Coturnix japonica: one gene and its partners. The protein of the gene in region 2 purifies or fractionates together with the protein of the main gene of each other region. This does not show direct contact. Links are inferred from orthologs where the notes say so. Each region holds a gene or a part of one and is shown on either strand. Other genes may lie near its edges.

Region 1 (4,233 bases), on a different chromosome or scaffold from region 2:
TTCTGCCTGATTATACAGGTACAGTTAATGCAGTCAGCATGGTTACACTGCTGGCAAATCTAGAGCAGGAAGATCAAGATGAGCTGTAGGGGAAATGCAGCACCTTGCCATGCCACAGCCTGTTTGATCAGCTAAAAGAAGTCAGTCAGCTTTGGACCTGCGCTCTGCTCTCTGAGCAACAGCTCATGTTCTACCTATATCTCTGTGAAGAGGGAATATTTGGAGAGAGAACAAGGATTTATAAAGAGAATAAGGATTTATAGAGACTAACATAAAAGGGATCAACAAAATCACTGATTTCATCAGTACAGTCAGTACAACTTTGCCTGTGTTTTCATCCTTAATGAGACATGGTCTGACACAAGGTTGGCTTCTGCAGTTCTCTGATCACTCCTGATCACTCTCACTGAAGGCAGACTAAGAAGGAGGGAACTGAGAACTCAACCTTCCAATACTATCCCTGGAAGTATTTCTCTGTGACCAGTCCCAAAGCTGTTCCTGCTTGTAGTGAGCGGTGACAGGTGTTTCTGTTTGGAAAACAAGTGAATTCCACAAAAAGAGCTGAAAAGAGGCACAGCTCTTTCTGCCTGTAGTAACACTTCCAAGTTGGCAGGAGAGGAGCCACTTTTTATTACCACAGATTTAACATCAGATAGGGATGAAAACTTGTTTTGTTTCAGTCACCCACTCAAAACCAGCACTGATCCATTAGAGCACTTCAAAACCTGTTTTTTATACAATTATCAAATGCAGCTTAAATGTGATTTCTCCCTTAAACGAGTTACTTTCAAGTGCTATTTCCATAACAAAAGCCTTGAATAAATGCATGCTTTTCGACTTGACTATGCTTTATGGCTCTAAAAAGCATATTTTTATTGCCATAACAGCCCATGTTAGTAGGTGTCTCATTACCACTAGGAAGTCAGTAGCCAAAAATGAGTTAAAGCACTTTTCCCTATTGTACTCTCAACATTCACATCACCAAACTACATCAAACAAGATCTACCATTACTGCCAGAACTATATAATCAATAATTGAGTGGAAAAAGGGGGTGAAAGGCTATGTTGTAACTGGCACAATGCATTTCTTCCATTCCAAACAGCACTTTGTATCTGTGAGTGCAACTGCACAACATCACTTGGCTGGAGCAGTGGGGAGAAGGAGAAGCACAGCCCCTTCACTTCTGTGTGAGCTCTGTCTGCTTTCACACTGAGCTGATCTGCGCTCATAAAATGGGCAATTCAATGTAAGAACTTAATGTTTCTCAAAATGCTCTTTTGCGCTTTAATCCTTTAAGACTCCTTGGGTGGGGAGGGGAATAAAAACTGTATCAGTTACATCGAAGATACATTTTGGAGTTACTGAGTATCTTCCACTGGCTCCACGTGAGCCACGTGCCACACCAGAGGCTGCTTTTCCCAGGGAAGGGGCTCTGCCTAAGATGGCAGCCCCGATTCCTCCCAGCACTGCCGGCTCTCCCCGACAGGACGGCGAAGCAATGGCCACAGTCAGCGCTCGCTGGGCCGCGTCACCGTGATCAAAGCACTTGGAGGCTGCCAGCTCCACGCGCACCACGTCCAGGGAGCAGCTGGGCTGTTCCAGCTGACTTGCAGCAGGACGGAGCCGGGCCTGGCAGCTGAGAGCCGGCGCTGGGCTCGGGGCCAGCCGTGGCTCCGCACAGTCCAAGCGATCCCTTCCAGCACCGCTCCGAGCAGCGGCGGCCAGGGTCCAGCACGGAGCGATCCTGGGCCTCGTCCTAACGGCGGCAACGGGCGACATTTTAGGTCGCAAGGACGGACAGAAATCCTCCACAGGAGCCGCGATATTATGCTTCATCATTGCCCATTTTATGGGGTTGCAGAACTAAAGGCGAAGCCGCGAGGTTGGCCGTACCCGGGCTGAAAGAAAGCAGCGTTGCTTGCAGAGAAATGCAAGAAAACCCCCCAGGATTTGTTTTTCCACCACTCTGGCAACTCGCGGTGCAGCTCAAGTTTCCAGCACTTTCTTTTCAGTCACCGCGTTAATACTAAGGCGGGTCACACGGCGCAACTTCTGAAGGCTCAGAGTTGGGCTCCGAAAAGCCACTTTGCGGGTCCCACCGGCTCCCAGCCGCTGCCCGCAGCCATGGACATATTAGGACTGAGATGCAGCTTTTCTCTGAGCGCACTTACAGACACAACACAACGAAGTGACGGAGTATGGAACGAGACCAAGACAACAAAAAACCCTAAAACTCTTGACAAGTCTGAGCCGCGTCACTTTGAAGCTCTGTACGTCGCCTCGGCTCATTTGCAGCCGAAAAAAACCCATCCCAGCCTTCCCCGGGCCGGCCGGGTTCACTTCACCAACTTTAAATAAACACCCCGGAGCCGAGGTATCGGATGATTTAATGCACAAAAAAGGGACTGCAGTGCGTCAGAGACAAAAGGCAGCTCCTGGCCTCACTGCATTGCCACGCGCTGAGCCGCAGCCTGGCCCCGGCAGCCCCCAGCCCAGCGCCGGGCCCCCACCTCCCTCCAACCCCCCCCCCCACCCCCTGCCCCATAGCGCAGCCCCGCACCCCCCGCCGTACTTTGGCCGCGTCGCCCCGCAGACGCGGGTCGCTCCAGGTGGTGGTTCGGCTGTTGTGGTCCACGAAGAAAGGCCAGCCCGTCTGCGGGTCCACCTTGATCTCCCAGCCGGGCGGCAGCGGCTCGGAGCCGCTCTCCGTTTGGAGCAGCGGGGAGTGCGTGGCAGCGCTCATGCCGGATCCGGGCCATGCGCCGAGTGCGGGGCGGGGAGGCCGGGCCCGGCCGCTTTATCCGCCGCGGGGAGCGGGGGGGCGGAGGCGCGGGGCTGGAAGTGTCTGGAAATCGGCGCCGGCCGGCGGAGGAGGGGAAAGGGGAGGGACGGGGAGGAGGGAGGCGGCCGAGCCCGGCCCGGCTGGAAACTTCTGGTGGCCTCCAGTGTGGTGCGGGGTTATGGCAGGGAGACCCGGCTGGGACAGACGAGCTGGGTGCGGGCTGGGGGAGCAGCGCCGAGTGCCTGAATGTCCCCGCTCTGACACCGCTCTGACAGCGCTCTGACACCGTCTGACACCGCTCTGACAGCTCCTGCTCCGAGCCGGTGATTCTGCGATTCTGGTCCAACGGAACGAGAAGCCAGGAACTTCGTCCTTTCTGATGGGTTAAGGTTATGTGTGTCCAGCCCTGGCAAACAGCACAAATAATGTCTGTTTCAGAGTTGCAGTGTGGACAGGCACTGTACTTCAGAATCGACTCTTTGATCGTGTCTCAGCCTTTGGATTCACTGATGCTGGCAAACATCTGAATGTAGAGTGTCTGTGTGAGCACCAGCCTGTCCCCCATCTCTGAGTGCTGGCAGTGGGTTACACCACTTGGCAGCGAGCACCTGCAGCCATCTGACAGATCCACTTGGCCCCAGGCGCCTATTGACAGTTATTTACCCTGCAGAGTCAATGCCGAGCCCCTGAAGAGCAGACATTGTCTGCTGCAAAGCTGCTTGCTCCGAAGAGGTTGAGGTGTGCATTCGTTCATTACCCACGTGCCTCATTTCAGAGGAGCTGCCTGTGCACACCCTGGGGATGGTCAGAACCTTGTCAGCTCAGGGCAGGGTCACAGATTGGGCTGACGCTGATTGACACTGACACTCATCCATCCTCTGACAGTGGGGTTTGTTTATTGCGACAATTGCTCAGCCTTGTTCCTTCCTTAGAGCCATAGAATATCCCAATTTGGAAGTATTTGATGTGAGGACACAGCATTGCAATGCAGAGCAGGAGAACCCCTTTCCTCGCCTGGCCAGCAGTGCTGGGCCTGATAAACCCCAGGTACAGCTGCCCTTCCCACAGCCCTCCCATCTTTGCCTTTGCAATATTTGTCTCAAGGATCTCTTTGTTTGAAAAGCTTTGTTTTGCTGTAGCTGATAGCCACATACTTAGCAGAGTTAATAAAAAAGCTGGAAATAAGAGGAAAATTCAGGGTAGTAGCTAAGAGACATAAGTTAAATGTGGCTGTGAGTTTGTGCCTTGCTGAGAAACAGGTCAGGAAATCTCACCAAAATTATCATGGTCTGATAGGTCAGAATTTGCCCAAGCTTCTTCTGCAGGAGCAGATCCTGTGGCTGCAGTATCATGCGGAGATGAGCATGGACTGAGAAGGGAAGGCATCTGAGTGATTGATTTTATTTGGCTGGATATTGTGCTTTTCCTCTTAATTAAATTCTTGTCCGTG
Region 2 (3,560 bases):
TACTCACCTGATTAAAGTGAACAATATCCAGTAGTACCTTAAGGTCCAGCATTTTGGCTTTATGATGTTTATCAATTGCACAGTATATTGTATTTTCCATTTTTGGAAGGGCCTTCACTCGTGGTAGCACAAATTACACCAAAATTCTTATTGTAAGAGGAGTCATTCAAACAAAACCCCCCAATATTTTGCTATTAGCTTCATTTGAACCATTTTGGAGAAGCTGTCTATTTGAAAAGGTTCTCATGCATTTGAAAGGTGGTGCTAAATCATAAAAATAGAGCTGCCAGGCTGAGATGTTATTATTGTGCTGAGTGGGACTATTCATCATCCTGATTTACAGCCTAAAATCATAAACAGTGCCTGAGCAGTTGTGGGGTTGCTTTATGCGTGTGGATGTGGTGGTGGATACAACAAATGATGGTGCAGAAGCTTCCTGCTGCCATCACTGCTCAGTGTTTTTTGGCATTTTTTTCTCTGTACTGTACTTGAATGGCTGTCAGCGCAGCCATGAGGAGAGAATATTGCCTTGGAAAAGCTCCCCATGTCCCTGCCTTGTGAGTTTTCTTGCTGAGGATTCAGCAATCAGTTGCAATCAGGTTTCAGCATGTAATTTATTGGAGAGAATTACTGGCAGAACATGGGAGGTTTATTAGCAGAACTGCAATCTGGAATCACCTGAGGCTGGAAGTGGAGTAAAGACTTCAGGTTTTTTTGGTGTGTAGGGTTGCCAAAGGCTGAAATAGAGCACACCCAAGTGTAGGTTAGGCAAGGAGTAGGCAGTGATGCGTTTACAGCTGTGTTGACAGTGGGGATCTCTGGGGGATTCTGGGATCTCCCATAAAACCGTCATTTTTGGCTGCTGCTTTGTGGGAGAGTCCCCTGTAGAACAGGCTGATAGAGTGGGGGGATCGTATACTCAGAGCTTACATGGCAGGTTGTTTTGTTTCTATTCAAACTCCAGGTAACAGGAAAAATTGAGCTATTAATAGAAAGCTTAACAGTGAGAGTAATATAATATAGATCATTTGTACACGTGAGTGAATGACCTTCATAACTAACTTCTGAGTCACCCAAGCAAGAATATATTAGGCTTCAAAACAATTAACTGCATTGGTTTGACTTACCAGCTGATAAACTATCTTGGGGAGAGGGTGTGGGGGGGAAGCAGCTTTAAAAAGAATGGTTACAGTACTTGTTTGGGAAATGCTAACCATAGTTATAGGTTCCCATGTTGCTATGCCCAAGAACTGGTTTGGTTTGTAATGTTTTAAAGATAATAACAGATTATCTTGAGGTAAAAAATAGCGCAGGAGCACAAAAACAAAAAAGCATGGAAACAAGGAAACTTAGTCATTGCTTGGTGGCGTGGGTAAGATAAAAGCTTGGTCCTGCCTTTTCTATTTAATAACTGTGTAAGCTAGGGTTGTTTTTGTTGTTCCTCGCATTTTCTATCTTCCCTAGTGGAAATATGTTTTTGGACCTTAGGAGCTTTATTTGTTCAGCCTTAAATACAATGTGACTCTTCTGTAAATGAATCACGTGTGCTAAGTAGTAATTTTTATTACCAGATTGATTGCTTTAGAGATGTCACCAGTGAGTTTACTTGGTGATGTAGAATGCACCAGCTTGGGCTTTTGTGCTGATACCAGGAGTGGGCTAATCTTTTATCTGTTAATCTGTTAATCATCCTGTTTGATGAGTTGAAGTTCTTGAACTTTGGAGTTTAAAATAAGAAATATATATGTTGAGTATGTGTTACGTGATTGAAATCTAAAGCTCTTTGTTTGAAGAGCGTTAGTAAAAATCTTTTCAGATAGCCACAGTAATGTCTGTATTTTAGGAAAGCTTGATTGCTTCTAAGTAAATAGGGATATTCTTGCACAGGTGTTTATGTACATATATGAAATCATACATAAACAAAAATGTGTTAGGTGGACATTTTTTATATGTATATAATATCTATCTTTAGAAAGAATCTATTGCTCTGCTAATGGGAATGGAATTGATAACTGCTGCTGACGTAACTGTTGTGTGTGAATTTGACATAATTTTTTCCACGACACTCTCTGTTTTTCACCTTTTTCTCCTGCTTGATGGTGTCTGAACGTCTCTTCATAAGTTTGTGCACAGTGTCCTGTAATTTACTACTTAAATCTGCACCAGAATAAATGTTTAAAGTACCTAATGTGGCAAGGGCTAAAATAAACACAGAGTAGTTGAAATTTGAGTTATTGTTCAGTCATTGATTGGGCTTTTTATATTTCTATTATTGACACAAACCGTTTGGAAGTTACTTTTCAGAGACCCCATAGTGGTGGAATGCAATAGATCTGAAACAGCAGTAAGCTGTGGGCAGTATTTATGTCCAATATTGTAAACACTGTTAAGTTCTGAGATCTTAATTTTTCCACAGTGTTACTCCTTACTGCTGTGTAGAGATCGTGATAATGCATCTGATGAGTTCTAAATCTGACAAATACTGAGTGGACACAGTCAAGTTGGTATTTATTTGCAGTTCTTTTATCGTGATACCCAGTCAATTATGCTGTGTGAGCATCTGAAATAAGTAAACTTCTGTTATAACTCTTACTATGCTGAGACATTACAGTAAGTTTACTGTTGTTTTAATACTAAATGGCTAAAATGATAAGGAAATCAATTGCTTAGAATTGTAATTCTATATGTGAGGTGAGATTAACCTCTTTAAATGTCTTTTGTTTTGTAGAAGATCCTTTTGAGGACTTCTTTGGGCGCAGACGGGGTCCAAGGGGAAGCAGAAGCAGAGATGGCGGATCATTTTTCAATGCCTTTGGTGGATTCCCTGCTTTTGGAAGTGCTTTTCCTTCATTTGACACAGGTAAATAGTGTAGCATTTAACAAAGAATACTTTTGTCTCACAAAGGATTTCAGTGTGGTAAGCAGATAAATACTTTTAAAAGTTGCCTTCATTCAGGAAATTGTGAGACTGATATTCTGGGAATTTAGTCTGCTTTCTAAAAAGTCTGAATGTAAATAAAACCTTTGTTATAGTATTTGGTCTACTTGAAAGTTGATAAAAAGTGAACAGACCTCTAAGACTACGTTGCAGTTGTTTATGGCTTGAGAATAGTTTTGGTTCTGTTTGTCCTTGAGCATTGGTGTGACTGTGTTAAGTTTTGGGAAGCACCCTGGGAATATTGTGTTTTGAAACTTGTGGTACTATTTAGAACGAGTTCTGGAATAGTTAATTTGAATGGTGAGGTCTGTGTCTCAGAGCTTTTTGAGAGTTTATGGTAGTTAGTATTGTTTCAAGTGTTAAGACTGAATATTAGTTGGGATGTTTGCAATACAAAACTAAAGCTAGGAGGTGGTCTGATTAGCTGATAAATTTGAAGATCACAGTCATGCAAAATTATGTCTTTAGTCAAATAATTGTCACGTTAACATTTTCCCCGATAGGTTTTACTTCATTTGGCTCGCTGGGACACGGAGGCATTGCTTCGTTCTCCTCTACGTCATTTGGTGGTAGTGGGATGGGAAACTTCAAATCAGTATCAACCTCAACTAAAATAGTTAAT
Region 3 (4,290 bases), on a different chromosome or scaffold from region 2:
TTATAATTACTCTTGGGAAGCAGGCACAGCCTCATAGCTGAAGATGTGGTGGCTGTGGAGGTCCCCATCTCAATTCCATCTCTGCCCATGCATGGCAGCAGCGATGCCCTTGCAGTGCTGGAAGCTCCCAAAGCACAGAGCAGCGGTCCCAACACCGTGCGTATGGCACAGGTTGGAGACGCAGAGCTCGGTGGCTGTGCAGATGGACCTGAGATGAGCTCCCAGCTCAGGTGGGCACTGCAAGAAATCTGCTGCAGGTGTGGAGGCTTCCTCGCACGCAGGGTGCTGCAGCTGCCCGCGCTGCTCTTCCCTCCCACAGCGCCAACAGCTGAGCTTCAATTGGAGGTCAGGTGAGGGCTGAGCAGCGCAGCCCCCTGCAGCACCAGCAGAATGCTGCCCTTCAGTGAACTAACAGCAGAACAACAGGCTGCTCAGTGGGGGCTCTGAGCCTCTTTGGACACACACAGGATCTGTCATTCTCTTCTAAGGATGATGAACAACACAGTAAAGAGTAAAACATTGTGTTGTTTATGAAAATACAATATGCAGTTTATTGATTTGTTGTTGCTGTTGTTGTTTATTGCCATGATTTGTCTTTTTTTTTTTTCCCCCAAGAGTCTATTTCACACACTATGTATAGAGCAGAGAAAAGTTGGTATCGCAGTATATGACCAAACAACCGCAGTTGTTTTTTTCTATAAAAGGAGGAGAATGGAGGACAGGCAAGATTCTGATCGATTCTGACAGTTCAGCAGAAGCACATTACAACTTGCAACAGAGCAGCATCAACTCTACAGAAGAAATCATGATAGCATTCCTTATTGCTGAAACAAAATGCCAATGCTACCGCAACCCATAGAATGCCTGCACCTTGCAATCCAAGATACCGTGGTGCATGTGTATGCGTATATATGCGTGTACTTGTAAACAGAGATTTTCCTTATAGCTTCTGTGTGCTTTTATGGAGAACTGGATCACTCTGTGGTTTGCCAGAAGTAGCCACGAGGCAGATTAATCCTGTTTGGTGATGCAAGGCTGCCTCATCGAGGATTTCTGATGCTCCAGCAACGTGATGGACTTCTCAGAATTCTCCAGGTTTCGGAGCAGAGTCTCTAACCTTCTTTTGATCTTCTTCTGATCCTCGATAGCGCATCCAATGACAACGGACTGAAATTTCTGATCAATGGGTCCTGCCGGCACATCAGACGTGCACGCGCCGTAAAGCGACATTAAGCGGATTTTGGCGTCTTCCAAATCATCCAGGAGCTTGTTGACGATTTCATCGATCATCTTGGTGGCGTGCAGGAGGGACTCCTGCTGCTGGGCGTTACGGATGGTTTCAACAGAAACCTCCACAGTGAGGGTTCGGCCCATCAGACGGTTGGCAGTCAGGTTAAGTTCTTCTCTCTCACCTAAAGCGAAAGCAGAAGGTATCCTGTGTTACTGACTAACACCTCCCAGTGCCTTTACATCACCAAGACAAGCAAAGTGCTACCGTGTGCCAACATGGATGTCTGTTGTTTCTTTTCTTTTTAAGAGGTGACAATCAGATTGATTTTCAGGGGCCAGAGGTTTTACATCTACGTGCCTGAGTCCCACCCATGTCACAGAGGCTGGTGTCTTCTGATCTGAAATTAGGCTGTAAGCTTTAAGAAAGGTATAAGCGATGTTTTTCCACTGCTGACACAGTGCTTGTTTTGTCACACTGCAGTAAAGCACCATATCAGGAAGCATTGATCATTACAAAAGCAGGCACGTGAGGGATGGACCCTCAATGCTGCTGTGAGAAAGAGTATAAATACACGGCACCTCGAAAGGCCACAGACAGAAGAGTTACTTTGCTTACCAGATGCAGTTAGAGGCCATTAGCAAAAAGGAAACGGGGACCCCAGAGGGAGGGAAGGCCCATCGGTATCCTCTGCCAGCTCCAGCATGGTGCCTTTAGCACTGGAGCAGCTCCCCTTGCTGGTCTGCTTTTAGGGCAGACAGGAGGGGATGGCAAAGCAGCTTCTCACCTTCACTGATGTGCCTCATGTCCTGGCTGTTCTGTATGTTGTGGATCATTTCTAGCAGGGTTTCTTTTTCTTGTTCCATAGCAGATGCTGCGTCACGGAAAGCCTCTACCCTGGGCGTAGTTAAACCAAACAAAGTCTTTCAATAATAAAACACATTTTCCCCCATAAAACTGCCAAGATCTTTCAATTAAACAAAAAAAAAAAAAAAAAAAAAAAAAAAATCAACAAAAGAGCCCCACTGCAAGTGCAGTCAGCTTGCAAGTATCTGTGCTCCAGACATTCTGACTCCATGACCCCCACCTACATAAAAACTTAATCTTTCAAGACACAAAATCATTCTAAAACTGAATACATGAGCCAATAGATAGAAAACAACCAGCTCCTTTGTAATGTGAGAAGAATGGGACAGACAGGCAAGGTGAGCATGTTTTGTTGCCTTTATGGGTAGTCCTGCCAAGCGCCTGCTTTCACGTCGCTGTGGTTTGTTTCTCTCCATAAAGATGCAGCAAACTGGCAGGAGGCTGTGACTCACAGAGGATGAAGCTCTGTTCTGGTCAGCTCCTATTTCTGGGCTTGCAGGAAAGCACGCAGTTGAGCTATCCTGAAATCAGACCCTTTCCCTGCACAACTCACTGTGCTGAACCTGACACGTGGCACACTGCTGCCAAGGGGTCAGGCACGGGGCAACACTGTGCCATGAGCTGTTCAGCCAGAGAGCTGCCCAGCTGTGTGCTGCTGCGTTGCCACTCTTCACCCACAACCCATGGCTTCTTCCCTGCCACGGCTTTTAGGAGAGGGCTTTTGCTCAGAGCAGTGTCACCTAGAGCAGCACAAGGGGAACAGCTGCCTAGGAGAGAAGGGGCAGGAGGGGCACCTTCCTGACTGCGCCTGCTGGGTGCTTGGAGAGATCCCAAGTCCAAGCAAAGCATCACATGAACCTGGCCAATGGCTTGGGATGCTTTCAACACAGCTCAGAGACCTTGATGCTGCAAACAGGCAGGGAATGCACCCGGCCTGGTATATTCATTAAGTCTGTCCAGAAAGCGAAAGCAAACCGAAGCACTGCTAACTCTCCAGTTCATTCTTCTTCCTTGCTTTATAGTGCTCTTCCGTGGTGGTGCTGGGAAAAGGGAGAAGGCAGGTGGGGCCAGGAACTCAGGGCCTTCAGTACCCACACGCCTCACGCACGCTGAGCTCAAGGAATGGCTCTGTTTGACGAAATCTTTAGGCTGAGTTCCCCAGTGAAACCACACGCTTCAGGCCCTCCCTTTCATGTTAATGTGAGGAGGAATGGGAAAAGTTAATGCAATGCAAATTCTTGCCAGGAGCAAATATTCTTAATTGTTATTTTGGATGGGTTAGTAAGAGTAATAAGGGCAGGTGGAGCCACTTCATACTTCAGATGTCAGCACTTTATAATTTAGGAAGTCTAGCAGAATTTTCATACGTGCCTCGCCGTGCCTTTAAAAAAAACCAGCACTGTCACCATTTGGAAAGTCCATTTTGGTCCCCAGAAAGCTGAAACAAGTGCAAAATTTCACTTTTAACAGCATTTTTACATCAACTCAAGTCTGGCACTGCCCTGACTCAAAAGCAAAGGTCTGCCCTCAGTGCGCAGGTTGACCCGTGGCTCTTACCAGCTCTGCGTCCAAGATCAAGCTACCAGTTCATGGCCTACAAAGCCAGACTGTCAGAGACAACGACTGTGTACCAAAAACAATGACCAATCACACCTTTGATTGACATAAGTTTATAACTAAATCAGCTGTGACAAACCTGCAGGGCGCCCAGCACTTGATCCCCAGCTGGCTCCCTGCACCACTGCTGAGGAAATGACAGAATGGCCCAGGTTGGAGGGGACTTCAAGGATCATGAAGCTCCATCCCCCCACCACAGGCAGGGCCACCAACCTCCCCATTTAACACTACAACAGGCTGCCCAGGGCTCCATCCAACCTGGCCCTGAACACCTCCAGGGATGGGGCATCCACAACCTCTCTGGGCAGCCTGTTCCAGCTCCTCACCACTCTCATAGTAAAGAACTTCCCCCGGACAGCCAGCCTAAATCTATCCTCCTTCAACTTAAAGCCATTTCCCCTTGTCCTGCAGTTATCTGCCCTTTCAAAGAGTTGACTCCCCTCCTGTTTATAGGCTCCACCCAGCAGCACCAGAGGGCCAGACCATGAGAACCTGTGAGCTTTCACTCAGAAACACGCAGGGCTGGGTTCTGGAGTTCAGTCATCAGCCTGAGAAATGCACTCAGAGGGCAGGAGAAA
Region 4 (4,080 bases), on a different chromosome or scaffold from region 2:
TTAAAGGCACTGATTCCTTTTTCCCTTCTTCAAGTGGCTTCTTGTTCTCGTTTAGAGCAGACCAGAACTCACACGCAATGTTATTACCCTTTGAAGTCCAACTGTTTGTATTATTAATCCTTTTCTGAACTAGAATGATTCCAGGATGCTTCATTGAGTCAATCCCGCAGAGCAAGGCACCTAAAGCTGCTGGATCTGGAATAACTTATTTCCCCTGTATTACTACAATAGATAACTGAGATCAACAAGCTCCAGGAACAACATTTTCCCACACATCCAGCAATTCTCACTCCAATTCTGTTCTCTTGAATTACTCTTTTAGCTTTTCATTCTGCAACCATTTTCAAAGGAAGTTCAATTACCGCCTCTGCCTAATGACGGCCGAGTCTTTTCCATGTGTCATCACAGTTTCACAACAATCTCCAAACAGATCCACAGCTTCTTCTTAGACACATGAGGTTAAGAGACCCTCCGTTCTTCCTAGATATCACCTATCTCAATTCCTATGAAATACCATGCTGTAACAGCTTTATGGATCTCCTCTGTTCAAGGTGCCCGTATAAATGGACTCCTCTAAAACAGCTCCACAGACTACACTGAAGTATGAGGAGAAGTGGAAGGTCTAAAACCATACAACTCAGGAATAGCAGTGCAGGAGGAACCAGTTATCTTCAAACTTGACACTGAAAAACAGAGGACTTACCATGCCCAGCATCCCAAAGGGTGAAACAGCTCCCGCCTGTTGAGACAACAGAAAAACAGAATAAACGATGATCTTGCAACAGCCAAACACCAGATACTCCTCAGAGCCCCTCTCTTACCTGCATCCTACGGCCAGCCTGGCGAGCCCCAGGCGTGGTCCCATCAGTGATACCAAGCAACGGGCCAAAGCCAAAGCTTCCAGAAAGCATGCGGTTCATGTGCTGCCGGTGGATAGCAAAAGGGTCCCTTTGGGAAAGATTGAGAGAACAGTGGTGAGAAAAGGATGACAGAACACTGAGTCCTGTATAATACACACATTCTGACTCGGAGTTTCTCTTATGCAACTGTGACTGTATTTTCTAAGCTGAAAATCCAGAAGCTCAAGAACACACACAGTGTTGCGTATGCTAATCCTTAGGGCTGGATCCCATTTCTTCTCTTGTGACTGAAAGTATTATGCCACAGAACCTCTCTTACACACTAACTAATGTCTATTCAGCACCAGCTCCATGCTCTGTTCCCACTAATACTTTTGAGCCAAGCTCCAAAACCTCACTGCTCTACAAGGTAAAAGATCTGCAGTCCAAGCGCTACCATCATCTCATACTCATTTCCTCTTGAGCCATCAAAACTCTTTGCATTAGCAGCCTCTGCTTTAAGGACATACTTGTACACGCTGGAGAAGCAAGGAGGGAAAAAGTAGAACAGGGACAGTCCCAAATAACAGCAGCCACGCTAAAGAGCCTGAGAAGCATCACAGCATTTCTCTGCACATCTGGTAGTTCTGCATTCATCCCTCCAGAGCACAAACAACCTGAGCAGCACGTAATTTCCTGAGATCACAAAAGCACCGAGCACAACCCAATACTTTCCTGTTTCTGCTGGGAATACTTTGCATAATAAAAGCGAGACTCATAGCTGCCACATCAGTGAGAACTGTACACTCACTCTGTGACTGAGACTTCCAGGTCTCCTCTCCTACTCATTGGTTTATGGTTGATAACATTCTTATAATCAACTTTATAAGCAAGAGCAGGGCTTTGTTTTCCTACATATATTAATTGTAACTAATGTATAGCAGTGCCACACTTCATACAAACTCCTACCATATAACACTCTTGTCCTTAACTGCTTTGGCAACAACCGCCACCTCTCATCAGTTGCAACCCATTTCTGAGCAGGGGATAGAAATAAAAGCAACCAGTAAGAGGAACCCCAAAGCAAAGCATCATTGGGACCCACATCAGGTTTTCAGGCTTGTGTTTTAAAACGCCTAGAATTCTCCTCATTTAGTCCCTCACAACGTGACAGCTCCCTCAGCAGCCTCCTCCAGCTCCACTAATGAATTCTTCGGCGGGGTAGAAACGAACAGGCACAGATGATGTTATCAAACCTTACTCGTTATACGCAGCAATCCTTAAGCACAGCTAAAGGTCACAGAATCACACAGAATCACAGAATGACCCAGGTTGGAAGGGACCTCAAGGATCATGTAGTTCCAACCCCCCTGCCTGGCAGGGCCACCAAACATACACAGGGCCACCAAACATACAAAAGGTCGGGCGCTCCAGCGCTGCTTTCCTCACACACTCACAGTGTATTTGGCCTACTTTATTCAATGTGTCCTCAAAGCCACAGTGGTTCGGCTGGCACGAAACAGGCCGCTCCCATCCCCCCATGACCCCCCTCCCCTCCGTGCAGGCCGTGCCGCAGCGCCCCGGCCCCTCGAGCCGACTCACATAGCGAACATGGGATCCTCGGGCTCGCCGTCCCTCATCAACCGGAACATGCTGCTGCCCTGGCCGGGGGCGGGCTCTAAGGAGGGAGGGATGGAGGGATGGAGGTTGAAGCGCTGAGCAGGCCGCACGTCGCAAAGGCGGCCGCCCCCAGACCCGCACCTCACCTCCCCACCACCACCACTACCACCCCCCCCGGCCCCAGGCTCGCCCCCACCTTGTGCCCCTTCTCCGTGCGGTGCCGAGGGGCAGACGGCAGGAAGAAGACGAAGAGCAGAAGGATGCACACACGGGCCGCTCACTCCCGTGCTCCCATGGCGGCTCGCAGCCCGCTCACCCCTTCCGCTCCAGCCGGCTCGCCCCGCGCATGCGCGCACAGCGCCGTGTGTCGGTGCGCTCTCGCCGGGCAGGAAGCGGCGCTCGGGCCCGTGTCGGGGCACAGCGCCCCCTGGCGGTCAGTGCGGCCCGAGCGCCGCTATGCTGCTCTATGGCAGCGGGCCGCCAGCTCACAGCGCACCCGTGGGCACCGACACTCACCCGGAGCCGCTGCCAACACCACCAAGGCATCACTGCCCCCCTCCGTGAGCCTCAGTCACACGTCTGACTGTTCCAGCATGGAAAAGCGTTTCCTGCTCGGCGTGTTCAACCCTGGGCGGGCACGTGGTGCATTGGGTGTGTGCAGACGGGCAGGGAGAGAGCAAGAATGGAAGCGTTATTTATGGGACTGGGAGCAAGGCTGCGATAAAATGACCTGCTTTCCACGGATCCCAGCAGCCATCCCACCCCCAGACATGGCAGGGCTCCTAAAGCTGCTTCCATACACAGCATCAGGCATTACTGCCTCCCCAACACAGAGCAGGAGTGCACACTGTAACCTATATGTAACCTATGTAACCTATGTAACCTATGTTACCAGCAATGTTACCAGTTAAGCAAATCTGGCTCACTGGTGGCTGAAGCCCCAGCAACACAGACAAGCTCCCCCTTGTTAGAAACGCAGAATCTGTCATAAATCAAAGCCATTACCCACACTGCCTCCCTTCCTTTTTTAAAGCAGTCCAGGCAGAGGAGAATGGGGGAAGAGGAGAGGCTGAGCCAAGGGCAAAATGGAAGCGAGGAGTGATGCCACTGCCCTGAGCTCCACCTTCTGCTGCTGACTCGCTGCCATTCAGCATCCCTCCCCCTAACGTCCCCAGCGCTGTTAGCTGCGCACTCAGCCAAAGGGGCAACCACAGCGTTTTCAAAGCAAACTGAATATCACGTGGCGTGGGTAAATAAACGCTATGTTTAAAACAGAAGGATACAGGTATGCGGCCAAAGTTCACAATCTACTGATCGGAGTAGAAGCTGCAACGAGGATACAGTGTGAATAGGAAGAAGCAAGACTGAGCCCTGGAACAGGCTGCCCAGGGAGGTTGTGGATGCCCCGTCCTTGGAGGTGTTCAAGACCAGGTTGGACGGGGCCCTGGGCAGCCTGATCTAGTAAAGGTGTATGTTTGGTGGCCCTGCCAGGCAGGGGGGTTGGAACTACATGATCCTTGAAGTCCCTTCCAACCCGGGTCATTCTGTGATACTGTGAGCCCTGAGAACTGGAGCACCCACAGGGGGAAGGAAGAGGTCACAGACCGAACCCAATGGCCCC

What was found.
Region 1: the proteins of DNAJB6 (region 2) and BAG3 purify together in Homo sapiens (co-immunoprecipitation; 3 studies listed by BioGRID and IntAct, with this or other methods). This does not show direct contact. The link is inferred for Coturnix japonica from reciprocal best matches to the Homo sapiens genes DNAJB6 and BAG3.
Region 3: the proteins of DNAJB6 (region 2) and BAG2 purify together in Homo sapiens (affinity purification with mass spectrometry; 4 studies listed by BioGRID and IntAct, with this or other methods). This does not show direct contact. The link is inferred for Coturnix japonica from reciprocal best matches to the Homo sapiens genes DNAJB6 and BAG2.
Region 4: the proteins of DNAJB6 (region 2) and MLF2 purify together in Homo sapiens (affinity purification with mass spectrometry; 3 studies listed by BioGRID and IntAct, with this or other methods). This does not show direct contact. The link is inferred for Coturnix japonica from reciprocal best matches to the Homo sapiens genes DNAJB6 and MLF2.

What each region holds. Positions count from the first base shown.
Region 1 is NC_029521.1:26,988,839-26,993,071, reverse strand, and holds the start of BAG3 (BAG family molecular chaperone regulator 3), read right to left. Parts: upstream 2,818-4,233; 5' UTR 2,745-2,817; coding exon 2,574-2,744; intron 1-2,573. UniProt on the Homo sapiens protein: Co-chaperone and adapter protein that connects different classes of molecular chaperones including heat shock proteins 70 (HSP70s), e.g. HSPA1A/HSP70 or HSPA8/HSC70, and small heat shock proteins (sHSPs), e.g. HSPB8.
Region 2 is NC_029517.1:7,735,084-7,738,643, forward strand, and holds part of DNAJB6 (dnaJ homolog subfamily B member 6), read left to right. Parts: intron 1-2,728; coding exon 2,729-2,860; intron 2,861-3,441; coding exon 3,442-3,560. UniProt on the Homo sapiens protein: Has a stimulatory effect on the ATPase activity of HSP70 in a dose-dependent and time-dependent manner and hence acts as a co-chaperone of HSP70. Plays an indispensable role in the organization of KRT8/KRT18 filaments.
Region 3 is NC_029518.1:79,192,651-79,196,940, forward strand, and holds the end of BAG2 (BAG family molecular chaperone regulator 2), read right to left. Parts: intron 2,126-4,290; coding exon 2,016-2,125; intron 1,413-2,015; coding exon 1,012-1,412; 3' UTR 506-1,011; downstream 1-505. UniProt on the Homo sapiens protein: Co-chaperone for HSP70 and HSC70 chaperone proteins. Acts as a nucleotide-exchange factor (NEF) promoting the release of ADP from the HSP70 and HSC70 proteins thereby triggering client/substrate protein release.
Region 4 is NC_029516.1:69,478,767-69,482,846, forward strand, and holds the start of MLF2 (myeloid leukemia factor 2), read right to left. Parts: upstream 2,811-4,080; 5' UTR 2,656-2,810; intron 2,518-2,655; 5' UTR 2,492-2,517; coding exon 2,442-2,491; intron 949-2,441; coding exon 822-948; intron 740-821; coding exon 704-739; intron 1-703.